Ovis aries: one gene and its partner. The protein of the gene in region 2 interacts with the protein of the main gene of each other region in a pairwise test. Links are inferred from orthologs where the notes say so. Each region holds a gene or a part of one and is shown on either strand. Other genes may lie near its edges. The genes, in order: WTAP and WT1.

Region 1 (14,534 bases), on a different chromosome or scaffold from region 2:
TTTTTTTTTAATTAAAAAATATTCTAACCTATTGCTAAAAATCAAATAACTCACAAAGAAAAAAGTAGCAAGTAATTTAAGAGAAGGAACAGATACTGTACACTGCTTTGTTATCAAGGGGAAGGGATGAGGGTATTCTGAAAGTATACACACACAACTGTTTATAAATGCAAGCTGAAAACTGTCAAAATTCTGCAACATCTCCCTGTAACTATTCTAAAATATACACACTATCAGGGTATGAAATATTTTAACTAAAGTGGACAACATAATTCAGGGGATCATTCTCTCAAAATTTAAACAATGAAAAAGTGAAAAACAAAACCCACACAACCCATTCTATTTGAATTATTGCAGACAGAGTATTGACGGAGCACTGTTTGTTTCAAATTAATGATGCAGTTGTACCACCCAATGAACTCTAGCTTATAATTCACTTTTTACAAAATTCCATTTATAGGTGGTTAAAATAATACAATGAAAATATTATACAACCATTAAAAATGGTAAGTAACCTAAATATACTAAGAAATGGAGAAAAAGTCCAAGGATAAAGGGGGCCTGGGGAAAGTCATGCTACAAATCATCTGTATATACATATGCATGTCCGCATTTGATTAAAACCAATACACATATAGTTACTGTAAATGCATACAAATTATCTTGATACCCAAGAAATTTAAAAATGGTCACTATTCCTGGGGAACAGAAAGGGGAAGGGGAAGGTCACCCAGGAGTAAAACTTATTTTACACCTCGACTTTTCGCTGTTTCAATCTTATACATGAGCATGTGTTATCTTATTAATTAAACGTTTTTTAACAATAAGAAGAAAAAAACCCACCTCAATGTGACTGTTACTTAAGTGGCAAAAGAAAAATGCTTGGCTAAATCTGAGTACATAATACCTTTTATGAATTATCTCGACCTACTGAAAATATGTAGCCCATTTCTACTGTGATCTTTAATGGCATAAAATATATACAAAAGCCTTAATTCGGGTACAATAAGCTAATTTCAAATAGATGTGGTTACTTACCCTCCAACCCCCACAGTGAGAATCTTAGAAGCGGATTTCTTGCTGTGAAGTCACACAAACCACTTCTTCAACCCGCCCTCTGCCCCACAATCAGTTCCCTCAAGTACAGACATACGAGATACTTACAATTGATTGGAATGATTTAAGAGAGAACTTAAGTCACCCTTGTTAAAACTGCACTTAAACGCTGGGAAAATCTGGAACATTTTATCTTCACTCATCTTAGACTCCATTATCACCAAGTGAAAATTCGAATTGGTGACTTATAGAATGATCTGACGGAAAAATTCACCTCCAGGATTGGATGGAAGCATGAAGAAAATAATGCCTCATTTATCTAAATGAGCAAATGAATTTGCTAGAAATGATCACTATACTTTTTTTTTCAATTCATAAAATGTCTCACTTAGGCCAGCCCACAGTTCCAATATATTCTGTCCCCAATCTTCTGGCAGGCACCCTGTAAAGCTGTCCCACATTAATTTCTACTGCAATATCCTGGGACAAGGTGTCAAAAAGCAACAAGTGTCAAGTCTCTTTGTTTTTTTATGATACCAGCTGGAAAAAAGTAGGTCTTTAAAAAATGAGACACAGAGCTTTCTCCTTCACTTTGAAGAGCACACCAACAATTTTTTTGAATCAATCTGCTCTCCACAGCGCCCCCCAATCAAAATGTTAAAAGTACAACAAAATCATCATAGTAATCCTTGAACTTAAAAAAAAAAAAAAAACAACTATTTCAAGGCACATTTAATTTAATATCAAAAGTGCAATACAAAAGGCCCAAATACAATGAAGGAACACATTCCCCCATTAACACCAACGACAATGCTCTTTCAACATGTGCCTGTTGAATGGAATGGGGATTTAATCAATTTCACTACTGAAAAAAATAACGCAGTGAGTCTCATCACAGCCAATATCCTTATACAATCTAGTTGTGAAATGAATGTTTATAACGCTTCAAACAGTTTAAAACCTGAAGTTTGACACCACACCTTCATGTTTGTACAGTCCTCGGTAAGATTATCTACAGTATTAGCAACCATTCAAAGAACAAATCATTGAGTAAAACCACACTGATTTAAGGCTCAATCAAGTAATATAGAGCCCCAAACGAAATGGTTAAATAGATGAACTACTTGTACTGACATCTATTATTTGATTCACTCATGACTATTAAGTTGGTTCTTAGCAAATAAACCCTTTAAAGGCAAAATTCACCTCATTTGAGTGTGACCCAGAAGTTCAACAACAATCACGAAGTCCACGGTCTTATTGGCAAAACTGATATACAGTGTCTCTAAGTCACTATGCTCAAGGTTAAGAGCGATGCATATTCCATCTTTACATTTACTGGAATTTTACATGTTCAATTCATGGTTTTAAATCTCTAGGTTTTCATTCCTCCAAACTGTCTGAAGACACAGTGTGCCACAGACTTAAGACTTCTGTTTCTCCCTGTATTTTCTTCAAACAGAAACATTTCTCAAGTGTCTACATGTTCTAGAAGGGGAATTTTTCGGAGGTGGCCACTTCTTCGGAATAGTCCGACGCCATCAGCCTCTGAAGCAAGGGGAAGGGGAAGAGAAAAAAGCTGAAACACAAGGTTCATCTGGTAAGTTTTACATTAACCTTTACAAGCTGGATAGTATAAGAATGTGGCTTTTTGGCTCAAAAAGTCTGAGTCTTGGTGTGGAAACGAGTACGTGGCTGTCCCACCACAGCTTTCTCGCAGTGGGACTGTCAGGGAAGTCTTGACTGGGGAGTATGATTTGTTTACCTATCAGGCGTAAACTTCCAGGCACTCAGTTCATTTTGGGCTTGTTCCAGTTTGTCTTTAGTCTGTTCCAGTTCACTTTTCATTTTTAGGAATAACAAGTTGATCGCTGGGTCCACCATTGTTGATCTCAGTTGTGCAACGCTAGGCTGCTGGACTTGCTTGAGGTACTGGATCTGAGTCTGTGCAAAGCAAAAAGACCCCATTACTACCAAATCAAAGGAAACATACCTAAGATGATGAGATAAAATCCCTTTTTCACTGGTTTACCAACTTGCTTACTAAGCCCCTCTCCCTTCTATCTTAAAATCCTCTAAAACAAAGTACAAATTAAGAACTATTTAGGAATTCCCTGGCAATCTAGCGGTTAGGACTCAGTTGCTCTCACTGCCAGCGCTTGATTTCAATACCTGGTCAGGGAAGTAATATACCAGAAGACTTGCAGCAAAAAAAACCTCCCAAAACATAGCAAAAAAAACAACCACAAAAAAGAACACTCACAAAACTATTTAAAGTTATCCACGTAGGAAAAAAGGCCATTTGACTGCATTCCATATTTGGAAACTTTAAATATAAGGAGACTACATGTTGGCAATCAAAACAGTACAAAAAAACAAGCAAAAAAACCCCGCTGCTGTATTTATTTAAAATGCTGATGCCCACTGGGGGAAAAAAAGGGCAAAGTTTAAAATATTAATTATTTAATAAGAGTATAGTGATTTACTCATACAAATCTGTGCTTTTGGGAAACTATTCCCTAACATTATACCAAGTACAAGATTACAACTTAAAACATATTTGCATTTCTAAATTTAAAAATACATAGTACTTACATATTTACATGAGCTGGCATTACAGCTTTATAAATAGCACCTTAACCCAAAATTAAGCATATATTCACTTTTTTCCCTCCAAGCAGACTTGAATCACAGCACTGTAAAGCTGAAAGGTGACTGACCTGGTCCAAACTGCTTAGTTTTGAGAGATTAAAGAAGCCAATTGTTCAAGGACACAGTTAGTTCAATGCCAGTACTGGAACTAGAATTCTTATTCTCAAGCTTCCTGACTCCCAGTCTAAGGCTTTTCCCACCACACCAAATCCGTCTACTTATATATGAAACCTTCAATTTCAACTCTGGTTGTACTGTCAGCACAGTTTTAAAATAGGAAATACAGTTTATTAGCATTAAATGCATCACTTTCTTCGCACCCAAAGTAGATCAGGTTCAAGATCCTACTCCATTCTAAACCTTAAATAGGATTAAAAATAACATTTCCAAAACAGCTATTAATGTCTAATATGAATTTAGTAAAAGATACAAATATACTAAGAGGATTAGGCTATACTTAATTACTACTTCATCAAGCAAACAGAACTAATTTTCTTTCTTTTAGCTTAAGGAATTTTAAAAGTTCACAAAATGAAATGCCCTTATCTGCTACTATAAGCTTGCCACTTCCTTGTGATTTTTGCTCCTGCTGCCCTTTCTGCAAAACCTCACTGTGTTCTAACTGAAAGATCAGTAAGTGCTTCGGCTGAGATGTGCAGAGAAGAGTTATTAAAAAAAAATGTGGCTGGTAAGTTAGGTTCTACTTGGAAAAAAAATCTTAAATCTCTGTTGAGATGACAGAAGGGTGAAGAGGCAGCACCAAAGGCTTAGATTAGGAATAAAATGATCAAAACTGCCAGTGTATGTGGGATGGCTGTAGAATCGCTGAGGTGAATCAACAGCACATACTGTCCAGGTTAAGTGGTTCAGAAGTGCCTGGACTAGGATGTCAAGAGTAGGGAGGACTCAAGAGGCAGAAATCAAGACACACTGGTTTTGTGAGACACTATCATTGGCACCACCCACTCACATTACCTACCAGGTGCCTGCATCTGGAAGTTAAGATCCATCCTTTGCATGTGTTAGCATCTAGCACAGTGCCGTGTCAACAGGGAAACCTAAAACTAACAGTGAGTGAAGGGTTGAACCTAGAATCCTAAATATCAGGAAAAGAAAGAATTAACTGGTTTTGGGACTCAGCACTTGAGTAGTACTACTCATACCACTAGATGTGAAAATCCCAAGAGGAAAAAAATTGGAGGGGTGTCACAGAAAACAAAACAAAACCCCTTATACAAGAATGTTGTTAAGACTTCTTTGAACCAAGTACCCAAGTTAAAAAAAAAAAAATCAAAAGAAGGAATGCCAAAAGCCAAAGCTGGGGAAAGTGAAGACATAAAAGTGATGAGAAAGAGAATTTTCTTAATACAATGACCTTACAGAAAAAATGTAGTGGCAGTGAAGGTGGAAAGTAACTGGTAGAAACAAAAGAAGCACTGAGAAGATACAGACAATAAAAGAGGCTACTCTTTTCTTTAGCAAAGTAATAGGTAAAGTCATTTCGAAAAAGTGAAGAAAGGACTGAAGACTTGTGCAAATGTGGACACAGGAAGAATAAAGACTGTGACTAAGTCCTAAAGAACATTTTATTGGTGAGAGAAGGAAAAGAAATAGAAGTGTGCCCCATAGATTATTAACCTCCAATGACCAGAATACTGCCTTATGCATTATATTTTAATAACTATCTATCAAATGGAAATTACACAAAATTATTCAAGAAAACTACAGCTTTTAAGATTAGAAACAACAGGGAATTCCTTTGTGGCACAGAGGTTAAGACTCAACGTTTTCACTGCAGAGGCCTGGGTTCAGTTCCTGGTTTAAAGTGAAAGTTGCTCAGTTGTGTCCGACTCTTTGTGACCCCATGGACTATATAGTCCATGGACTTCTTCAGGCCAGAATATTGGAGTGGGTAGCCTTTCCCTTCTCCAGGGGATCTTCCAAACCCAGGGATTGAACCCAGGTCTCCCACATTGCAGGTGGATTCTTTACCAGCTGAGCCACCAGTGAAGCCCAAGAATACTCGAGGGGGTAGCCCATCCCTTCTCCAGGGGATCTTCCCAACCCAGGAATCAAACTGGGGACTCCTGCACTGCAGGCAGATTCTCTAGCAACTGAGCTATCGGGGAAGTCTGATTCCACAAGCTGCGTGGCATGGCCCGAAAATGGGGGGAAAAAAAAAAGTAATAAAAAACAACAGGGATAGAGTTGCCTCTATCTTATGTAACTTACATATACAAACACTAAAACAAGGGCTAAGGCTATTGAAGACAAAACTGAGTCTAAATTCAACCAGGGTCAAAGGATCAAATATGTCACTAGGTTTCAGATATATGTAGACATGGCAAACAGTACAAATGAAAGGTGTTAACAATTAAAAGAAGACACAGTAGAAGTTGATACTTAGTTTTCTGTAGAAAGAGGTAAAGACAGAAAAGGAGAAATTAACAAGAAAGCCTGCCAAGTAAAATGAGTAAATGGTGCTTATACCCTCAGGTATTATGTTACTTCAAGATATATGAACCAATATACTAATTCTCATAGAGATTTCAGAGAATAACTTAAACTTCTGACTTCTTGGCCACAAAAACTACTTTAAATCCAATGATGAGAAGTTATCTATCAGAATTTTACATTTAGCACATTGAAGCTCAAAACATATCTACCTTAACAAAATGTGCATGTATAATTAGTATTAATTATTAAAATTAATGTGAGTTAACACATAAAATAATGTGAACCAAAACCCAAACCCTGATAAAGGCTTGAAACATCTGAAACACTTACAGTACACTCTTGCATTTCTTGCTCCTTGGTTGCTAGTCGCATTACAAGAATGTTTTCCCTGCGTGCAGATTCTTGCTGCTGCTGCTTTAGTTTTTCTTCAGATTCCCTTAAGCCAGTTACATCATTAGCTGATGATTAAAAGGAAAAAAAAAAATCCCAAACATCATGAAACATAATTTGAAGATCAAACTGAATTAACCAAATTAAAGTTCTGACTCCCTTTGTCAAGGAAAATAAGGTTAAAAAACTGTCAAGGCAAAGAAGTTCAAGTCTTTAGTTTCTATCCTAAACTTTTATGACAACAAACTTCATTCTTGATCATGAGTGTTTTTTCAAGAGTTAGTGGTGTTAAACGGGTCCACAACCACTTAACGCTAGATGGAATTATGCTGTTATAGTCTAATCTGTTCCCAAAAAAGACAGGAAATTCCATTATTTGCGTTTGTTTACACTACCAAGTATTCACAAAGTCCTGATTAGTATTGTTTAACCTAATCAATATAAACATGCCCATAACTGCACAGCTAATTATTAATTTTAAGCTTTCACAGGGGTTTCCCTGGTTGGCTCACTGGTAAAGAATCCACCTGCCAATGCAGGCGATGCGGGTTCAATCCCTGGGTTGGGAAGATTTCCTGGAGTAGGAAATGGCAACCCACTCCAGTATTCTTGCCTGGGAAATCTCACTGACAGAAAGCGCCTGGAGGGCTATAGTCCATGCAGTCACAAACGAATCAGACATGACTCAGCCATTAAACACCACCATTCACAACTTCTATGGATTATACTGTAATTATACAATAATTGAGATCTTAAAATATTAATCTTTCTGAACTTGGAAAACTGTACTGGTTTTTACACTCGCAAATAATATGTTACTCTAAAACTCAGTGAAAAGTGACAAAGACTAAAATGGTCTAAAATTATAAACTTTATTATTTTCAGTAGATTTTTGAAAAATCCATAAATACACAGCTATATCCTATTGTTACAATTTAAGCTATCATAAATGTAATACTGGTTGCTTCTACATTCCCCCCTGCTAGAGTAATAACTCATGCTTCACTTCAAATTTTTCTGTGGAAGGGCTACATTAAGCAAAGTGTCAAGTAGTTGTGAATTTCCCTATCTGTGCACTCTCAGAACCTTGTCGTTCAGTTTGAAGTCATGCTACTGTTAAGTGATGTTACTATATGTCAGTCTTCTCCAATGACTGTTAACTAAAAGAGAGATCACGTCTCCTTCATCATTCTACTTCCTAGCACCAAACTCAGTGCCTGGACATAGGTCCTTAATAAAATCCTCGAATAAAAATTACTTAGCAAAACCAACTATGCTTATAACAACAATCTAAAAGGGAATATTCACATAGTCCTTAGGAAGCTGAAGCTCTAACTTACAGTTGAGATCTGTGTACTTGCCCTCCAAAGCTTGCACATATGCTTCATACTGTTTCCACCTAATAAAAATAAAGCCACATTAGTTATGTTTAAACTGCTTTTACTAAATACACTAGAAAATCACATCCATTAACTTTATATTTTACGAAGAACTCCACTGTGTGGATTTTAATGTCTCTCTCATTTTAACAGGGGCTTCCCAGGTGGCACTAGTGTAAAGAACCCGCCTGTCAATGTAGGAGACACAAGAGACTCCAGTTCAATCCCTCAGTCAGGAAGATCCCTTGTCGTGGGAAATGGCAACCCATTTCAGTATTTTTGCCTGGGAAATCTCAGGGACAGAGAAGCCTGGCAGACTTACAGTCCATGGGGCTGCAAAGAATCAGACATGAATGAGTGTACATGCACACACATATTATTTTAAGATAATTATAAATCTAGTTTAACCCATAATAAACCATAATAAATTAGTCACTTTAAAATTATTCCTTCTTGACCTTATAGGCGTTAGATAAATGGAAATATAGAGAAAAGTGTTCTCTGCTGAGTATATAACAAGAGGTGTTCCCATGAGTCAGATCACACACCATACAGGACAGTGTATCACTGATGTTCAGCATGATGCCTGGATGATAAAAGGTAAACGAAAAACTTACCACCACTTTTCAGATATGCTGTCCACCTCAAACAAAAGGCATTTTAAAAATGTGCCTAATTCTAAGGGACTGAAGGTGATCTCAGCTCTTACATGAAAGTAGTATGTGATTTCTCTCAAAGTAATAAAAAAGGGGATCTGTCCTTTTTGTACATTATAAAAAACAGAACATACTGTTTTTCAAAAGCATATCTAACTGGCAGAAACAACTTGCATTAAGTGCCATACGCTATCTGGATCTTTCTTCATTGCATTCCTCTACCTTCAATATATAGGCTTTAGGACTTCCTTGGTGGCGCAGTGGGTAAGAATCTGCCTACCAATGCAGGGGACACGACTTTGATTCCAGATCCATGAAGATCCCACCACCTCAGAGCAACTAAGCCCATGGGCCGCAACTACTGAGCTCACTCTCTAGAACCCGTGTGCTGCACTCGCCTAGAGCCTGTGCTCTACATGACAGAAGACACTGCAATGAGAAGCCTGTGTACCAAAACAGCGAGTAGCCCCCGCTCTCCTCAACTAGAGAAAGCCTGCATGAAGCAACAAAGACCCAGTGTAGCCATTAAAAAAAAAAAAACAACCTCTCAGGGCTTCCCAGGTAGCTCAGTGGTGAAGAATCCGCCTGCAAATGCAGGAGTTTGAAGTTCCATCCCTGGGTCAGGAAGATCTGAAGATCTTCTGGCGAAGGAAATGGCAACCCATCCAGTATTCTTGATGGGATAATCCCATGGAAAGAGGAGCCTGGTGGACTACAATCTATGGGGTCGGATACAACTGAGCGCGCACGCACACACACACATACATACACACACACACACACACACACCTAGTTGATCTAGGCAACTACTGCAGATAACAAACCTTCCCTAGTCTTATGTTTAAGCAATTGCTCCGGACAGTAAGCTGTCTGCTACCTTGCTTGCTGAAGAAATATGTTTTCAAGCTGCTCTTCAGTTACACCTAATCAAAATTTAGATTTTAGAAAATATTTTTATAATTTTTAAAACCTTTGACGAGTTACGAGATTCATAAACATTATAACATAATGAACAAAAACATTCCATAATATCAAACTAATCCATTCTATATAAAGACAAAGCCAAGGGCATGCTTATTTTTATGGCATCTACAACAAAGGTCACAAACAGGAGTTCATTCAACGTTTCGGGATGAAAAAAGATGTTCTATGAAGGTTAAAGATTTTAGAAGAAAAGACAAATACAAAAGCTCAACCGCAAACATCCTTATCGAGAAGATAGGAAAAAAACTACTTAAAAGTCATAACCATACCAGAGACAGAAAGAGAACACCAACACACGAGCAGTGTGTCACGAGCATCTACATCAGCAAAAACAGCGAGAGTGATTTAAAATGCTAAGTATTTAAATTTTATGTGCAGGAATATAAAGGTATGCAACAGGAAAACTATCCTATGCATGAGACGATGGCAAAGAAAGAGAAAGAGCACGTCCACAATAGAGGCGCTAAGCAGAACTAGCTACCAGACTCTTAACTAACAATGGAGCACGCCGTCTGTGTCTCCCTGTTGTGTATGCGTGTGTGCTAGGTCACTAAGTTGCGTCTGACTCTTCGCAACCCCATCGACTGTAGGCTGCCAGACTCCTCTGTCCATGGGATTTCCCAGGAAAACGTACTACAGTAGGCTGCCATTTCCTCCTCTGCGGATGCTCCCGACCTGGGGATCGACCCCACACCTCCCGCTCTGGCAGGCAGATTTTCTACCACTGAGCCCAAACCACCTTTACTCTCCCCCCACTTCCAACCCGTTACATTTACTCAGTTCAGCAAGTAAACATTCCCTGAAATTTCTAGAGGAAAAAGCTCAATAAACTTGCAGCCTACCCTGAAAAGCATTAATTTGTATCTAAAAGTTATTTCATAAAAAACTTACGACAGTGATAAAATGCAGAAAGAATACATTTAAGTTGTAAAACACAAATGTGTGATCCCATTTTCTGATTTCTCACATTTAAAAAATGAGTAATATAATGCTGTACCTGACTGTCTGCTTTAGTAAGACATTTTTAAGACAACCATAGAAATTCGGAGCTGGATGTCGTCTTTAAAAGTAATTAAATCCAACTCTTTAAACTTGCAGATAAAAAAATGAAGGATATAATGGTGACTAAAGTCACAGTCACAAGACGAGTAACTTCGCTTCATCAGTAAATAATGTATTTCTCTCTTTTTTTTTAATAATGTATTTCTTTCATGAGAAAAATATCCTTGAAGGCTACAACTTTTCCACATGTTACATGGAAAAGGGGGAAAAAAAAAACAGAAACATCAAAACAAGTCTATTCATTTGTTAAACTGAAAGCTTTCTGAGAGCAGTGTCTTTCCCCATACCAAGTTATATACATGAAGTACAAATGCTTCTCTAGTTAGAGTTCTGAATATGTGCCCTCTACAGGAAAAAAATTCAGGTTACTTGTCAGCCTACAAGTTACCCAAGCTAGTGCTTTAGTTCTTTCAAGTGTTATGCTTTCCCCAATGTTTACACAACGAAGAAACAGGCCATAGAAAAAAGTATATTAAATGATTTGAAGATGTGTTAACATTAAAAATGCAACAGTATCTGATATAAACAGTATAGTATAAAATCACAACGTAATGCTCTATAGAAAGATTTTATATTTTTGATAAAAGAATATTTTACCTTAGAATTAATTCATCTCGTGCCATAACTTTGAAGTCTGTTTCACTCAGTCGAACCTACGAAGAGAATTAAGATATAAACTAAGTGCTCTTTCTAAAAGTTTTAAAATAAGTAAATAAAAAAATAGTGGCAATACCAAATATGGAGTGAAGATGCAGAGAAACAGTGTTCATATGTTGCTGCTGAGAATGTAAAATGATACAGCTGCTCTGGAGGTAATTTGGTGGTTTCTTTTAAAACTAAAAATGGATGTTCCACACAACCCAACATTTGTACTCTTAAGCACATATTCCAAAGAAATGGAAATTTATTTTCACACAGAAAGTTGTATAAAAATGTTAACAGCAGCTTTACTTGTAATAGCCAGAAACTGGAAACCACCCAAATGTCCTTCAACAGGTGAATGGTAGACTATGATACCATGAAGTATGATTCAGCAATAAAAAGAAACAGACCGCCAGCAAATACAACTTGGAGAAAGCGCAAGGAAATGATGCTGAGAGAAAACTGAAAGGACACTTAATACAGCATAATTGCATGTATACAACATCTGTGAAGTAGCATAATTACGTAAATGAAGAAATGATTAGTGGTTGCCAGGAGTTGAGGATAGAGTGGGAGAGGATGGATGTGGCTATAAAGAAAGGAGTGGCATAGAGAGGCTTGTGGTGATGGTTCAGGTAACTGTTTTGGTTGCGCTGGTATTTACAGTAAGTTACAAATGATAAACTTGCACAGAACTATACACACACAGAATGTACAGGTAACTGATGAAATTTGAGCATGTAGACTGTGCCTGCTGGTTTTGGTAATGTTACACAGGATGTTAACGTCAAAGGAGGCTGGGTGAAGAGTACACAAGACCTCCCTGTGCCTGTCTTTGCCGCTTACTATGAATTAACAATTATTTCAAAGTGAAGTTTTTAAAGATGAGGATATTCTAATAAGATGAAACTGCTTTGTAAATTGAGAAATATTGTTTTCTGTAAGTAAAGAAGACTATAAAACTGAAGAACCAATCCTAATATAAAATTCTTATTAATTTTCCTTATTAAAACATTTTTCTTGATAAAAACGGTTCAAATAGTAGCATTTGCCACAATGTAAGTGTTACTATCAGAAACAAAAGAGGGAAAAACACTGTAGCAGCAGAATATATTACTAAGCCTAACTGAAAGCACCCAGTAACTCTCAGATTATTAAAGCACTTGACTTTTTAGGATAAAAATTTCCATAACGTTTACTATCCAATAAATAGTTCACTTAAATACTCACTGGTTAGAAAGCACATATTCCTGTTTTCCCAAATGCATTATAAATTCCTCTGAGAAAATGTTATTCCTTTTGTAACCCCTTTTGTGTGTGTCACAGTGCCTAAACTGAATTAACATAGGAAAACAAAACAAAGAAAGTGATAGTAGAAAATAAAACTTCACCAGAAAAGGTAGAATTTAGCTGTATTTTTTTTTAATATAAAAGTGGTTCTGCATTAAAACCAAAGGGATTTAAGTTAGGAAGAAAAAGAAAATAAGTAACTTAGAGGACCTTATAAAATACTTTCCTATTTTGACATTATTTGTAGCTACGTAGCTGGAGACAGTCATATGATAAAGATTACAAGTAGATCATGGGGATACTACAAGTTTTCCAAAGGCTGAAAATGTTCTTAATCTACATTACATAATAGATATGATGTCTCACACATTATATACCCACAATGCTATGTAACTGATAGCAAGCGGGAAAACAAGCAAACAATATGGACAGTCCCTTCAACTCTACTATTCAAATAAAGTGCTTAAAAAGTGCTAAGAAAGCAAACCTTTTTGGGAAGAGGTTCTTCGTTGGTCATCTTGAATCCTAGAAAAGGAATAAAGAGAAGAACGTCAACTGATTTTCCTCCAGTTAAGGTAGAACAAAATATACTGGCTTTTGCAAAAGAATTTATTACCGAACTCAGGTATGACCAATTCATTAGGTTATTCTAATTAAAACACACCTTTCAGACTAGTTTTAGATTTACAGAAAAGTTACAAAGGTATCGCAGGGTTCCAGTATACTGTGCACCCAGGTTCTCCTTTGTGAACATCTTACATTATGATTGTCATTAGGTTTGTTTTTTTTTTTAAGAATTCTCTCATAAAAAAGTTGATCATTCTTTGTAATACTCCCACAAAGGATTGAAAGAAATACAATTTTTCAATGCATTCTTACAACTGCCCTGTGAAAGACATTATCTCGCAGCAGAAAGGACAGATCTGTGCTGAAGTCAGATACTGGCCTCAGGTAGTAACACCAGTTGCTAAGCCTTGCCTTTTACAGAATTAATATTGTTACAGTAAGGTCAAGTTTATCACTGTCATGATTCACCACTATACAATGCAGGAATGAAGGTATTTACACCTTAATAAAATATTCCTACATTACAGACATTATTTAACTTTATGTCACAGAATAATCTGTATCTCAAAATTAGCTTCTTTGTTATTCCTAGATATCCCTTCTAGTAGCAAAGTCATATATGTCTCCTTATATCTTAAACTTTCTTTTTAGTTTATTTTACTTACCCATACTTATTACAAACTCTGTAACTATTAAAAAGTTAACCAAAGAGAAATAAGCAAGTTACAGCGATGTGATGTACAGCACAGGGACTATAGTCAGTAACATCTTATGTATTTGAAAGCTGCTAAGAGTCAACTTGAAAGGCTTCATCACAAGAAAAAAATTTTGTAACTATGCATGGTGACGGATGGTATCTAGATTTATGAGTGCTTCTCTTGCAATGTATATAAATATCAAATCATTATGTTGTACACCTGAAAATAATGTACGTCAACAATACGTCACATGTCAGTACCTGAATAAAAAATAACCAAAGAATCTAGAGTATAAAACTGAGTTTTAAAAGCTACGTGACTTTTAGTGAATATCTGAGATTCCTCAAAAGTAGATGATCTTTAATACCATTTTTTATATTACATACAATCCCAACTCAAACATCAAATATTTTAATCATACTGTCATTAAACCCTGATTTTCAGAACCCTGATCTTCAACTCAGCACACTGAGTTGAAGAAATCAGTACATTTTAGAGGAAAATAAAAAACAACTATATATTGATTATGCCTTCAATTAACTGGTTTAATTCTTCCCTCTTTGATGATCTTGTCATTGGATGTAATGAACAAAAACCTGAGTATGTATCATTTGCTTCTGAGCTGATGTAGCTGATCAGGTCTCTCTGACCAACTAATATCTACTGAAGACATGGCTGTATTTCTACTTTTTAAAAATCAG
Region 2 (14,997 bases):
CTTTATGATTCTGGAATTTTCTCACAGACTTAAAGAATAAGCCCAACAGATTCCTAAAGAGAAAGTAAGTTTTTAAGTACATTTTCTTGGCCCCCAGAAAGCAAACCTTCTTAAATACAAAATCTATGCCTTATATATGTATCTTCCTAGTGGGGGCTTGAAAATCCTCTTTACTGCACTGCTTAATAGGTAGCCACTAGTGAGACATGCTGTTTAGAACCTGAAATATGGAGAGTGCCACATGCTTAAGTAAGAGTTGGGCTTTCGGAGTTAAATAGAATGTTTTTAAATTTTTCTGTTTCTAATTTTTTAAATGTGGCTACTGGTAAACTTCAAATTAAGTAGATGACTTGCATTATGTTTCTACTGAACAGGGTTCCTCTGTAAGTTTTAGGACCTTGAGCAAATCAGTTCAAATCTCTGCACCTCAGTTTTCTCATCTGTTAAATGGGAATTTTAATCTCAATCTGTCTAAATTTACAGGGATGTTGAGAAGCTCTAACAATAACTCTTTTAAGACTACACAGATAACATATTTCACTTTTTCTAGTCCATCAGATTTCGTACAGTACACTCACACATCACCAATATTCATCACCAATATTCATCACAACAACTCTGTGAGGCAGGCATACTTATGACTGCCTTATGGTCGTCATTTATCAAAGGAGAACTGAGGCTCAAAGACTTGCCTAGTGCTGACCTGCCTGATGCCCCCACCTCCACTCTGCCCCGCCCCTTTAATGGCTTCTTGGCATTATTTGAACTCTGAGCCTTGTTCTCTCACTGCTATTTAAACAACAGAAAAAACAATATGATAATAGTACAGACAAGAGTCTGGAGGTGAAAGAGAATAGTATGCCAGGGTCCCAAGAGGACCCCCACTCCTGGATTTCAGTAGTCCTGATAGTTCAGCCTGCAAATCCTCTTAAGAGGAGAGAAGGTGAAAAGAGCCACAGGAGAAGGGCTTTCAGAAAATTCCCAAGCAAAAACCGAAAAAAAAAAAAAAAAAGATTTCCTGAGGCTGGTCATAGAATCAGAGCACGATTTTAACCACATCCTGCCTTCTGCTGGCTGGGGCTCCTCAGTGGCTCAGCCAGGCAGCTTGGTTGGCACCATCTTCCAACTGGAAGTCAATGACAGTAATGACAATAGCTGCTGCTGGGAGAGGACAAAATGTGAATCTGAGCTAAAAATACCAGGCCCAAGCTCTGATCTCTTCAGGCGATCGGTCAACACCCAGCTCTCATCATGAAACCCCCCCACAGAAAGAGGCAGCACCAGTTAGGGAATATATGACCCCTGGCAAACAAAGCATCTAATTACTAAATAACCACTGTAGGTGTCGGCCACCTCATTCCCAGAGGAGATCAGATAAGCAGGTGGTTTGGCTCGCAGCAACCACAACGGTCACGTAGGCATTTCAGCTCCCCATCTAACTCTGTCTGCTCGGAAAGGAACGCTGAAATTGCCAGCTGCCAAAATATATTCCAAAATATATGGTCATGGTGTCTTTTATATTTTCTTTCAAGTAGATCTTGAAATTAAAAAAAAAAAAAAGTCACTGGTTTCCTATGTAAGAAATGTTTGAAGTTGGAAGCAAGGGAGAGAGGAAAGAAACTTCTATAACTGGGATTAATGCAAGTTGGAGTAAAATAAAAGGAAGTCAGTCCTAGCAAAAAGGGGAACTTAAAAGGAAGTCAGTAGTAGATCATATAGAGTTTGTTTTGGCCTGGACTGCAGGATTACTGAGTTCTCGACCTCTGCACAAAAAGAAAGGAAGAGAAAAGCTCTCTGCTATTATCTGGACCAGAACTCCCTCACTCTTCAAATGCATGTGTAATTCAAGTACATGTTCATCTTTAAGTGTGTTTAAGTATATTCAGAAGAATGAGGTAGAAACATTCTTTTTGCCACTGGAATGGGGCTGCCGAAGACTGATCACAACCTGAGTTGCCTCTGCCAGACGGTGGTTGTTGTTTAGTCACTGAGTCGTGTCCGACTCTTGGTGACCCCTCGGGCTGTAGCCCACCAGACTCCTCTGTCCATGGGATTTCCCAGGCAAGAGTACTGGAGGGGGTTGTCATTTCCTTTTCCAGGGGATCTTCCTGATCCAGGGATCTAACTCACGTCTCCTGCACTGCAGGCAGGTTCTTTACCACTGAGCCACCCAGGAAGCCCCCTGCCAGATGGTTATCAGCTGGCAAACAAGCATCTTGGTGGAAGAAAAGTGTTTCCCGGGGTGAAAAAAAACTCCCAATAAGAAAAGGGCATATGTAAGTGGCATCTGTGCTCAGAATTCAAGTTCCCAGAGTTTTCTGTAATAGCTTTGCCCCACACTTCTACCTGATAACCAAGGCCCATGCACAGAGGCTGCAGCCAAATTTCCACACAGACCTTTTCCTGCGTTCTTCCCTCCGAGGCGCCATGGAGGCGGCCTGTTCAATAATTTCTGCCCAGCAGGCCATGGTGAATAATCATTTTACAGTCAATCTCTTGGTATTGTCATTTCTCTCTAGCTCACCAGTGACCCAAAGAAAAACCCACCGGGGCTTTAACTTCTATTCATAAACACTTGATCAGCACAAAAGTTGCAGGAATATTTGAAACTAGGTTTTTCCCGCTCCCTGGAGACAAGTTCAAATCAAACCTTTCTTTGATAACACTGCCCACCACCCTGGAAACCATTTCAAACTTTCTGCCTTCATGTCTACCTATATGGGAAACAAGTATTGTCTTAAGTGAAGCTTGTACAGCATATCAAGTATTTGTAGACAAACATGTAAAAAGAGACATTATTATTATTTCTTCAGGTGAGAGCTCTTCTCTGATTTAATTCTACGCTGAAGGCCAACCTAAATGGCAGATCATGTACTTCCCACTGACTAGATCCCCAGAAGCTCTATAAGCTGCTAGAAGCTTCTCTCACATGAAAGATAATCCATATAGTAACAGACTCCACTGTCAACTTCATCTCTGGTGAATCGTCACCATTCAATCAAAAGTATTCAAATCAGCAACTACTGCTTCTGCATTTGAAGTTTTATCTGACAAGGGGCCAAAGGAAATAAGCATTCTCCTTTAAATTGGCAGGACAGTTACTAAAAATGGATACGCAAACCTAGTAGAAGAACAAAATGAAAAGGAAACTATAATGTCTAAAAAGATTAGTGCGTGTGGGAATATTTTGCAGGCCCAGAACTCCTTTTCAAAGTAGCTGTGAGAATCAACCCATGAAATGGGCATGGTCAAGGACTTCTGGCTTTAAGGGGCTCAGCAAGCAGCAGGAGAGAGGGGACTTGTGGAAGAGGATTCAAGGGACATGAGTAGGGAAAGCCCTGCTAGCTGCCTGTTGTAGGTCACCATCAGGAGAAAACTGTGCTTAGCGGGGTTGGACTTCACTACTTCTTCCCCTCAGAGGAGCATGGAGGTCCCACCTTCCCTGAGACCTTGCTCTGGGCAAGCAAAAATCAGGGAGGCCCTGGAAGCTGTTGCTCCCCCTGGGTCTGGATGGGTGAAGAGGAAGGTCTCTGCCATTTCAGTGTGTTTCTTTAGGAGCCTGAACTGAACTTCACTAGTTCTCACTACTGGTAAAGGCAAAGCTAGAGGAGTCTGGAGTTTGAAAGACGGAGGCTTTGTAAGTTAAAGACTTTTTGGAGTGAAAGCTCAAGTTAGCTCTTACAGTACTGACTGATGAAAATACTGCCTCTGATCCACAGAGCGATTTTGATTGAAAACTATGGATAAAACGAAAGGATAATGGGGTTTCTTTCACAGAATAAAGACCTTCCTCGAGCAAGACCTAGGGCAGACAGCACCTTTGGAAAGGAAAGGGCCCTTAAGCATCAGGACAGGCAGCCAGGTGCCGGAGAGAGGATGGATGCAGAGCCTCACACCTGTTTTGTCCCATACTGTGTCTTACCAAGCAAATTCACCTCCAAGGGCCTCAGTTTACTCCCCTGCAAAATGGGGGTGATAACCTACTGAAACTCTCAAAGTTTCAGATTAAATGTAAGTCTTACATTTAATTACAGATTAAATGTAAGATTAAGTGCTTAGAATGGTTTCAGGAGGTAGTAAGCTTATGTAAGCAATTATTAGCAAAGGTGCTATATAAGAGGAATATTTCAGGTGGAGGACAGTGAGTGACCTGGAATCCCTGTGGGCTTTAAAGACAAGAGAGACTGAGAATCAAATCCTAGTTCTGATTCTCATTGCTAGGTAACTTGGGCAAGTTACTCTGAGACTCTGAATCTATCTCTTCTTTAGCAGAGTGGGGATGGGAGTACCAACCTCAAAGGTAATCAGAAGAATTAAAATGAGCCACTTGAGTGGAGCAAGTAGCACAGTATGCCACAGCATAAAATATGCAATAAAGCCTAGCAATGATGTATCGGGGCTTGCGCTTTCACCCAGCTATGATCGCTGGGCTCCAGAAGGGCTGAAATCTGGCTCCAGAATCCTTAATGACCTTCAGAATAAACTCTGCCCACCCTCAATATGTGGGGTGAGGGGGGCAGAGAAGACAGAGAAAATGATCTCTTAACACTTCCCGTAAGTAGACTGGGGTCATTTTTTATACACTATTCATCACATCTGTATACAGCTATACCTCCTCAGATCTGTTACCTGAAAAAGAGGAGTCACTTTACAGTTCTCTCCAAATAGAGAATTTTGAGAATTTTCTCAAAGCAAATTCACATTGTGTAGTGCTTCTTTAATGTCAGTGTATATACCAAATACACTAACCCCAGACTAAATCCAAGACTGGGGAGACAGAAGCAGCTTTGGAAGGGCAGGGCAAAGAGTCCTGGCAGGCTGCCTTAGCAAGTGCAACAAGGCAAACAAAATACAAATTCAAAAAATACAAGCAAGCCTTTCCCAGAAGGTCCCAATGTTAGACAGAAAAGGGAACAGAGCCAGGGACCACTGAATACCTAAGTGATTAAAGTTTAGTTGCATTTCCTATGTTTTTCAAAACCTGTATTCACAAAAGCATTTAAATAACCTTTCAAACTTTTTTAGAAGTAGGAAAGAAGGAAATGACACAACAGTAGTAAAGTGGATGCACATATCCTAAAACATCCCTACACCTGTACATCCATCATTACTGCAGGGGAAGTATCTGATTTTTGAAAGGTGATTAGAAATATTGTGAATTTAGGGTGGATGGAGTTTCAAAGACTCAGGCAGCACCAACTTCAAGGGAGCAAACTTTTCCTACAGGGGTCACAAATTGTTTTTTTCAGGAGATGTTATTACTTAGAAGTTTTTCTATAACAAGAGAAAATGGTATTTTTATGACATTTATACAAAAGTGAGCAAAGAAGTTCCAATTATGTAGAAAGAAGAAAGGAATAAGCAAATAACTCTGAAAGATGAACCTGACAAAAGTGCTTTATACAGCAGCCAGTTAGAAGATGGATTAGAAAATGTGAAATTTTTTATGTATAAAAGGCAATCCAAGTGACTTTTCCTACTTTCATAGCAACCACAAATTCAGTGGAAAGTCAAAATCCACCACAGGGACTCAGTCTGGAGAACTGCTGTTAAGCCAGAGGTTGTGATCACTTTATCCCTGACTCCTTTCTAGGCTGTTCAGTCCCTTCTTAGAGACCCACATGGTGGACTTAGCCTTGGAAGAGGGGGGAGTAAGAAATGTGTGTAGCTGTGTCACTACTGAATCAGACTCCAAAGCTCCCCAGTCCCCAGCCTCCAAGGAGGTATCCCAGCCCATTTAAACAGCACCCATTCCAGCATCAAGGTCTTCCTCTCTGCGTGGGGTGAGGCATCAACCAAGAGCCAAGGAGGAAGGACTGGGCCAAGGTCATCCCACCAGGAACCATTTCAAAGCCCGTCCCACCCCAAGGCTAGAGTAAGAGCAATGCCAATCTGGAAACAGGCAGAAGCAGCTCCTTAAAAAAGATGGCAATGATCCCACCATCTCAGTTTTGGTTGGGGAGGTGCTGTACAACAGATATTTCAGATTCTGTACCCATTCCAGTGAGCTGAACCACCAAGGGCAAGTGCAGAGATGTCTGCCCGGAGCAGATCCCTGAGCCTGCTGTACCAAGAACAGAACTGGGTTCTACCAGCTAGGGAGGGAGACAGGAAGATGAGAAGGTGTGATCATTCAATCTGTGCCTGGGCAAGTGTTAGTAGCTCAGTAGTGTCCTGACTCTTTGCTACCCGATGGACTGTAACCCACAAGACTCCTCTGTCCATGGGATTCTCCAGGCAAGAATAGTGGAGTGGGTTGCCATGCCCTTCTCCAGGAAATCTTCCTGAACCTGGGCAAACTACATGCTTTATTTTTTTCTGCTCTCTCTCCCTTAAAAAAAAAAAAAAATCTAGTGAAGGTCGGGCGTAAAGAAAGAAAAAAAAATAAATAACAAACGTGATCTTGAATCCAAGATCAGATTAGATATGCCGGATTTCCCCAGTCAAAAGGAAAGGTTTCCGAAGTCTGTGTACTCTAGGCCTAGAGAAGTAGGTGGGCTGGACCCTGTCCCTCTCCAGGATGGGAGAATCAGACCAGTGTCCTAGGCTCGGTTTCCTAAATACTCCGGGGCGCTGGGGTTGGGATGAGCCGCTGTGAGCTCGGAAACGAAGACCCCCTTCCCCTCCTCCACCTGTGGGACTGGAGGGCCCCCAGGCGCGGCCATTCCTTCCACCAATCTCCCAGGGCAGGCGCTTTTCCTTCCTTCATTACCTCACTACCTCCTTCCCTTGACGTCAGCCCCGGGTCTTCCAAACGAGGGGAGGGAAGATGGAGATGAGTCTGGGGCAGTCGGTATCAGGATCCCCGCAGCACCGGGTCGGGGGTAGGGGGTGGAAAATGAGGTAATGCGCGCCCAATCCCCGGCCTCAAAAGGCCGCGAGCGGCCACTTCCCTCCCGGCTCCGGCGGGTGTAGTTACTAGGCAACCCTATCGGCGACGCGGGATGCCGGCCAAGTTCACCCAAAGTTGAAGAATAAATTTGGGGGAAGAGAAGGTGGAGGGTGGAGCAAGCGCCGAGGAGGCACGAAGGACAGGAAAAGAGCTTGGAGGGAGAAGAAGCTGGTTTTCCGCCTCCCGGGATCAGGAAGAAGGGCGGGCGCGGACTGGAGCTGTCTCCCCGGAGACACCGCAGCCTCCGGCCTGCAATCCCGCACCCCGTCCGGGGCTGCGGGGCGCTGCCGCACCCGAGCCTCTGGGGGACTGGGGTGGGGAGAAGGTGGTGGCTCGAGTGTACGCGCCCTCGAAATGGTCCCAGAGAAGGCTGGCGAGTGTGTCCAGCGCGCGAGGAGGGGGCTGGAAAAGGGAGACAAACTCGCTGAGTGGGTGGGAGTGGACCCCGGGTTTAATCTTTGATCCCGAGGAGGCTGAAGTGCTCCCAGCAAAGAGCCCTTCCCAAACAATAAAAATAAAAATAAAATCCTCAAAGTTCCGCTCTTCGGCTCCAAACGGTAACCGCCCTCATTGATATTCAAAGTAAGACCACCAGGAGACCGGGGAACCTACGTCTTTCAGATAGGAGCCAAGAGATGGGCTTTAATTTGCTTCAGGGAGCCCAGTGGGTTCGAGGCGCCTGTGGCCTCCAGGACTCGCACTCCAGGGCCCGCCAGCTCAAGCGCCCCCTCCGGGATCGCGGGGACCCAGACCCGGTGCGGAGCGCCTTCCTACCTGCTGTAGGGCGTCCTCAGCAGCAGGGCCTGGCTGCCTGTGCAGCTGTCGGTGGGCGTGTGGCAGCCGTAGACTGGGGGCGGCACGGAGTACTGCGGCTCCCCTGCAGAGAGCCAGGAGGGCCGGGTGAGCGCGCGCAGAGGGCTGGGGGTGCGGGGCCGCGGGCGGGGGCTGGGCCCCCAGGCTGTGCAGGGCGCACGGGGGCCTGGATGCCCGGGCCGTGCCGAGAGACGGGTGTCCAGATCACAGCGAGCTAAGCTTCCCCCTTTACCTTATTTTAAGCAGTCACCGCACAGAACACGGAAAAGACCCTCTGGACATTCGCAGTCTCGGCGGAGTGGGGCTAACAGACTTGGAGTGGGGGAAAACAATCTTTTCTTTTGAGATTAGGCTATTTCTAAAATTCTTCTAGCTGTCCTCTTCTCCCTTCCCCAATTTGCTGTGGGTTGGAAATTCCTGGGGAGGCAGGGGTGGCATGGAAGAAGGGGAGAAGCCCCCACCCCCACCCCGGCTTACCCAGCGAGCCCTGCTGGCCCATGGGGTCCTCGTGCTTGAAAGAGTGGTTAGGGAACTGGGCCGCGTGGTGCGAGGGCGTGTGACCGTAGCTGGGCGTCCCGTCGAAGGTTACCGTGCTGTATCCTGCGGACGAGGCCGAGAGAGAAACAGCGTCAGCGGGGAGTCAGGGACCCTGGGAACCAGAAACCGGGCGAGGAGCACCCAGCCCCGCATTCAGATCCCGCGCCCATCAGCCCCCAGGGAAGCCGGGCCCAGTGTGACTTCGGCTCATGCTCCCCGCCCTTTCCCGAGTAAACTCCAGACCTCCCCAGAGTTTCCCAATTTATTTACGCCCTTGTCTTTCACGACGTCCGCGGCTTCTGCACCGAACCTCGCCAGTATGAAAACTTTCAGCCGCTCGGCGGAGAAAGTCGTTCTCCCCCCCAAAACAAAACAGCGCGGTTCTCGCGCAGGGGCAGCGGCGGGCGACCACAATGGATCTGCTCGGCTGACCCGGCGCTGACTCGGAGCCGTAAATCAGAGGCCCGCGCACCAACTTTCATTAATTACTCGGGGCCAGTTAAACGGCCTGGGCTTTAAATGGGGGAGAGTAATTACTGAGTAATGTTATCTGTCTGAGGCTGCGCGACCCGACACCACTGACACCCAAAGCCCTCGGGAAAGCTGGTGAGGGGAAAAAAAGGGGGGCCTTTCAAGTTGGGCCCGCGGGCCTCGACCCTGCGCCTTCCTCCGTCCTTCCTCCGACCCAGCTAGCGCCCTGCGGATCGGACTGTGACCATCACTGTAGGGGCCGACTTCCTCGCGTCCCAGGCCGGGAAACCTTTTTGTTTCAGAGTGTGCCTGACAGTGTACTTCCCTTTCCATACATGGTACGCACGGGGTCCAATGCCTCAGTTTCCCTGCCGAGAAACCGAAGGCAATGTCGCGGCATTCTTCCCCAGCTTTCCGAAGGTGAGGGGGGAAAAAACGCGTGTTGGTGGTTGAAAAAACGTAGTCTCCTGTGATTACTGTCACCAAAGTACTTGAAACATTTACCCCACTGGCTTCTGCAAAACCGTAGCTGCCTCTGGGGGAAAAGCATCCTCCAGCTAAGATAAGGATCAGTTCTGAGTCCTGAACCCAATGGTGGGGTCCTTTCCTGGAGGCAGGGCTCCGTAGTCTCTGAACTGAGGTCCTGGCCAAGTGAGGAATATTAGTCCAGAAGCTCACACCAGCTCCCTGCAGGGCCACTGGGCTGAACCCAGTCCCCCCACCCCGCCCTCGCTGGGCCCCGCCTCTTGCACTGAGCTGAGCCTCCAACCACCCCCCCTCCTCAATTCTTGGGAGTAGGGTGAGTCAAACAACCCTCATTCTCCAACTCTTGCCCCAGGCATAATCAGGGCTCTACAACAAACGTCCCTGAAGACTTAGACTGAATAGTGAAAGGTAAAACCCACGTCTTTTAAACGCCCCCCCCACACACAAAAAAAACCAAAAACAATAACCAAGCTTCTACAGTCCACTTTGGGGAATGTGGTGTGTTAAAGAGCCGTAGGGAAGGTTGGAGCAGGTCTTAATAAACGAATTGTACAAGTCTTTCGCACCAGTTGGCGCCACAGGTTGACAACTTAAGAAGCCACCAGCTTTAGCAATTTGCATGACCCCAGAGGCCTCTATTTCTGGCCTGCTAAGTGGGCAACGATAACCCCCGGCCCGCTAGCTGTCAGGAGTGGGTGAGCACGCTGGCGCTTCCAGGCACTTCCTTTTGGGAACGGAGGCCGCGCTGTTTGAGGCCTACCAATCAGCTGACAAGCGAAATTTGGCTCGGAGCGCCCAGTCTTACAGGGGGAAGGCCGAATTTTGAAAGAACTGTTTTTTAAATAAAGAGGAGAAACAGGAGCGACAAAGAAGTTGTCTCTAGACGGACCCTTCTCCATTCCTGAGCCAGTGGCCGGAGCACCGTGCTGTCCCCGGAGACGGCCCCCGCCACCATAGGTGCGCGGCGAGGGCCAAGGGGTTGCGGGAGGCCGCTCCTGCGTGGATTGCCTCAACTCCGCGCCCCGCGAGGCTCCCAAGGCCCCCATCCCCGGAGAGGGGGTGCACATCGGTGAAAGCGCCCTCATAGAGGAGGGGAGAGGGCCCTTTAAATTAGAAGCTTATCGGATGCGGGACTGATTAGAGCGCGTGGTCCCGGGCCTTGCACTGAGCCAAGCGCGGAGAGCGCGGAGGCGGGGGCCGGGGGCCGGAGGAGAGACAGCTGCCGGCCAAAGGGGACAGCGTGTTCAAAGATTCCTTGTATTGTTACAGGCCTTAGAGGGAGAGGCTCGAGCGGCCAAGGTAGCGCCTTTCCCACGGTTCCTCTCGGCCCGGCAAAGCAGTGCAACCTTGACCGCGTGGAGCAGCGACACACGCTTTGCGCTTCTCTCCCCCGCCCGCCGCAGCGGAGGAGTCCGGGAACAGCATGGCCCGCGGAAGCTGACGGGTGGAGGGACAGCAGGCTCAATCAGGAAGGTGGTCCCAAGGGTTGAAAATGATGACTCCGCAGCTGCGGCAGCGGCAGCATACGGGAAGGTTATCTAGCAACGAAATACCCTCTCCAAAGCGACCCGAGGGGGGCGCCCTTGGCCCTAGGGCTGTGCTGGTGTCCCCCTGTGACAATAGGTGGCCCAGTGATAACCAGGTATCCTCCAGGGATAGGGTTCTGAGCGTCAGAGGGTCTGGGGAAATCGCTCAAGACTCTCAAGCAGTCTTCCTCTTCCCTTCCGAAACTTCGCACTTCAGTTTGGGAATGCAAGTCCTCACCCTCCTGACAAACTCCCCAAGGGTCACATCCAGGCTACAGTGGGTTCGGTGCCTGTCCAGCAGGGAAGAAGAAATCCATCTCAACATGGAGGCCAAGATCCCTAGAAACGGAGGTTGAAATAGCCTAGAATGGTCTGGGTTTGGGTCCAGGTTCGGCCAGAGAGAGATCTCCTGGACACCTTATCTCTTAGAGTCTAGATTTACTCCAGTGTCAGGCTGTGAGCTTCTTGCAAAGGATAAGACATTCTCTCTTAACATTCAGTCTCCAGTGCCTGGCACAGAATAAGTGCTCAATAAGTGTTTCCTGAATGAGTATTTATAAGCAAGATTAGAATACAGGTATAATTAAGAAACTAATAAAAAACTCAACTGAGGTATGATACCTTGGAGTGGGGAGATAAGCAAGAGTGCCAGCAATTGTCTCCTTCCCTGAGCCATTGAAGGTTGCCCTGCGTAGAGACTGGGATCCAGAATCTTTACTCCTCTCCCCTGGAACTGACCTTGGCCAGCTGATGGGCTGTGGGGAAGGAACTCTTGCCCTTGCTTTCCCCAACTCAAGCCTCCCGCCAAGACTCTACATTCCTGGGGGAGCTGCAGGAAGCCCAGAAATCAAGAGAATAAATCTGAAATCTCAGGGCCCAATCTGGTTGCCAACGCCAGGGCTGAGCCACGAGTGGCTTCTGACATCCCACCCCAACTCCCAGCTGCCAAGTGACTTACAGAGACTGGGCAAGCATGACCCCTTATGTTTTCATCACAAGAGAAAACCCAAGCCTAAAGACAGGAACCAGCTTACAGGCTGTGGCCTGGGTCTGTGGCCTCTCTACTGAGCAATTTCCCAGAATGTTGGGGTGGGGGAGGCTCCTTTACCTATTAGTCGTGGTCCCCAGTTCCCAAGCCCCTTTTCTGTTTGACATCTCAGGCCTATCCTCTAGAGAGGAATTAAGATTTTTCCCCTTACGTGTAGTGCTGGCTGGCTAGGAAGCCCACAGTCTCAACCCTGAGACTTGAGTTGATGGAAATCTGGGCATCAGATGACCCTGTAGAAGTTTGGACACAAGGACCCAACCAAAGCCACAGAGTCCTGGTTCCAAAAACCCTACAGAACCTAGATGGACTCAAAATGATAATGGTATTTTGCACACGGGGTACTTAAATGGTTTCTAAGGTGTCTTCAAATAGCACACTACCAAACAGAGACTCACTCACCTCATACACCTGCCTGCCAGTCTTGCTCTTTTAGGTCCAACCAAGTTTAGGTGGCTGCTGCCTTCTGTGTTTAGAACCCGGGTTGGGGGGCGGGGGCGGAGTCGGACTTATGTAGCATAGAACTTCAAACCAGAGTCAGACATCAGGTTGGGCGTCTTGGCTCTCTTACAAGAAAGAGAAACTGAGACCTGGAGATTTACCAAAGGTTACACCAACGTGCTAATTAGATGTGGTACGATCAGAGAACAAGAGTCTGCAATCCTCACTGAGATGTTCCAATACTCCATGAGTTCCAAACACTAGTTTTCCTTCACGAAAGACTCAGAGTGGAGGGACCTCATGGGTGGGTTTGAGGTTTTCCACAGGACATGAATCCCAGATTCCCCGAACGAAGAGAAGAGGGTGGTTTCGGTTTCGCCAGAGCTTCTGGCGGGCCAGGTGCTCTCGGCTGGGTGTGAATGGGGTCGCGCGAAAGAAGATATGCGTTTAGAACTTGCGCGGGAAAGCGGGAAAAACACCGCCCTTCTTCCGCGCTCCTTGGGCGCCCCAGCACCTCCTGCAAACAGTATGCACTCTTCTGCTCCCAACCCACGCATTCCAAAAACAGACTAGTCCTAGGCCCGAGCGAATTTTTGCTCTAGGAAAAGCATCCGCTCCTGCGTTTTTAAAGCATCTCCTAAAACATCGAATCAACCAGAATTGGTTTAGGTTCACAACAGCGCATATGTCTAATAAACAAAATAAAATGCAGAAGTTCGGCGTAATTGATTCTGCTTTGGTCCCTGAGAAAAAGCGGGCGACGGCTCAAGATGAGAAACCTACAGCTGTGTCCCTTGCTGTACGAGGACTGAAAACGGAAAATAAACCTCTCTTTGTTTTAACTTTCAAGTCTTGCAAAAATCTTTCTCCAGCTACAACCCGGGTTCAACGACTAGGAGGCGCCTGAGGCGGGCTGGAAGGAAGCCGGCGCTCTGGCCTCATTTCATCGCCTGTGGTAGGACCCTGTCGCGCAGGGTTTGGAATCGGATAAACGGGGTTCTCCTCCAGCCCTGGAGCCCGCGTGGCCGCACCTGACCTGGCACCCAGGAGCTATCCACTTCTACACTACTATACACTGGAGCCAAACGCAAACAGGGACATGGATCTAGGAAAGCCACTATTTTGTCTCCAGCTCATTCATTTACTCATCCTGGGGCTCCAAGGTACTTATGGTGCCTCCATTAGGGCCAGAGGGGCTCCTGGCATTTTTGGCGGGCAGACGCAGCAAGGGCTGCTCACCACGCGCTGGTCCGACTCCGAATCCAGGGTCCTAAAACGCCAATGCTTGCCGACAGTTTGGTGGTGCCTTAGGCGACAAAACCTCTTCCCGAGGCAGAGTCAGGCATTGCACCGGTTCCCGCTTCCCATCCCCACGGGGAATAGTCTGGGAATTTCCTGGGGTCCAAGGGCCCCCAGATGACCTCCCGGCTCATGCGAAGGGTCCGGTTCCCCGGTTCCCCGCCCTGGAGGATGTCGGGAACCCACGCCGTGGACTTCCTCCTCTCCCCGGGCCTCCTGTCTCCCCCAGCTGCGGCTTCCTCTACCCTCACAGTCCTTGGGGAGGCGACCGGGTAAGAGCTGTGGTCAGGGAAGTGGTAGGACAGGGGAGTGCCCGCGCGCGGTCACAGCCCAGCGGCCACCGCCCCGCGTGCAGGGGGCGCTCCCCTGCCCGCTTACCCTGGTTGCGAATAGCGGGCTGGCTCTCGAGGCAGCTGGGCAGGTAGGGCGCGTTGGGGAACATCCTGGCCTGGCCGGACGACGCCTGGCTGGGCGGAGGACCGAAGGGTCCGTAGCGACAGGCTCCAGCGGTGCCGGTAAACTGGCCAGAGAAGTGGACGGTGAAGGCGCTCAAGCACTGCTCCTCGTGCGGCTCCGCGCCTCCCCAGCTCGGCTCCTGTTTGATGAAGGAGTGAGGCGGCGGCGGCGGTGGGGGTGGTGGCGGAGCCGGCGGCGGCGCAGGACCGCCCAAGGACCCGTAAGCCGAGGCGCCCGGGGGCGCAAAGTCCAGCACCGGCGCCCACTGCGCCGCGCCGCTCACGGGCAGGGCGCAACCGCCGCCGCCGCCCAGCGAGGGTACGGCCGGCAGCAGCGCGTTCAGGTCCCGCACGTCGGAGCCCATCTGCTGGGACTCAAACCCGGACGTTCCGCGGGCCCTCCGGCTTTGCAGACGCTCGGCGCTCGACTCCGCCTCGCCTAACTTGGCCCAGATGCTTTCCGGACCCCGGATCCCCGGCAGCTGGGGCTGCTGAAGGCACCCAGGCGCGGGCCGGAGCGTGTGCGAAGACGCCGGCTCCGGGGCACACGTGGACGCCGGCTCTTGCCGCAGGAGGAAGTCCAGGATCGCGGCGAGGAGGCGGCGGGGCCCCGGCTCCTGGGCTGCCGTCCGGGCTCTGGGTGGGTGGGTGAGTGAATGAGTGGGAGGGAGGGAGGGACGGGGGGAGCGGATAGGCGGTCGAGTTGCAAGAGCCCCCGGGTGTGGGCGCTGCCTTGAACTCCTTACCCCAGCTGCCTGGCTGCCCCCAGCTTCTCAAAGCTCAAATAAGAGGGGCCGGCGGCGGGGGAGGAGGAGGAGTCAGGAGTCTCGGCGGCTCCATTCACACAGCAGCCCTAGCGGATCCAGGCAGGGCGCGCGACTCCTTGGGGGCGTCCTCGCAGTGGGGGTGGGGGGCGGGCCAGAGGGAGCGTCCCTCTCAGAGACACCCTCCTCTCCTACCCGCCACGCGCTCTCCGCTGGCCTGTGGGACACAGGCCTCCCCCCCCCCCCAACCTCCCCTTCTCGGCCTTCG

What was found.
Region 1: the proteins of WT1 (region 2) and WTAP interact in binary tests that used the Homo sapiens proteins (3 or more experiments, as listed by UniProt). The link is inferred for Ovis aries from reciprocal best matches to the Homo sapiens genes WT1 and WTAP.

What each region holds. Positions count from the first base shown.
Region 1 is NC_056061.1:83,752,059-83,766,592, reverse strand, and holds part of WTAP (pre-mRNA-splicing regulator WTAP), read right to left. Parts: intron 13,094-14,534; coding exon 13,056-13,093; intron 11,290-13,055; coding exon 11,234-11,289; intron 7,955-11,233; coding exon 7,896-7,954; intron 6,624-7,895; coding exon 6,496-6,623; intron 3,001-6,495; coding exon 2,822-3,000; intron 1-2,821. UniProt on the Homo sapiens protein: Associated component of the WMM complex, a complex that mediates N6-methyladenosine (m6A) methylation of RNAs, a modification that plays a role in the efficiency of mRNA splicing and RNA processing.
Region 2 is NC_056068.1:61,977,355-61,992,351, forward strand, and holds the start of WT1 (Wilms tumor protein), read right to left. Parts: upstream 9,367-14,997; 5' UTR 9,264-9,366; coding exon 9,218-9,263; intron 8,564-9,217; exon of another isoform or gene 8,513-8,563; intron 8,306-8,512; coding exon 8,183-8,305; intron 7,770-8,182; coding exon 7,667-7,769; intron 6,813-7,666; exon of another isoform or gene 6,713-6,812; intron 1-6,712. UniProt on the Homo sapiens protein: Transcription factor that plays an important role in cellular development and cell survival. Recognizes and binds to the DNA sequence 5'-GCG(T/G)GGGCG-3'. Regulates the expression of numerous target genes, including EPO.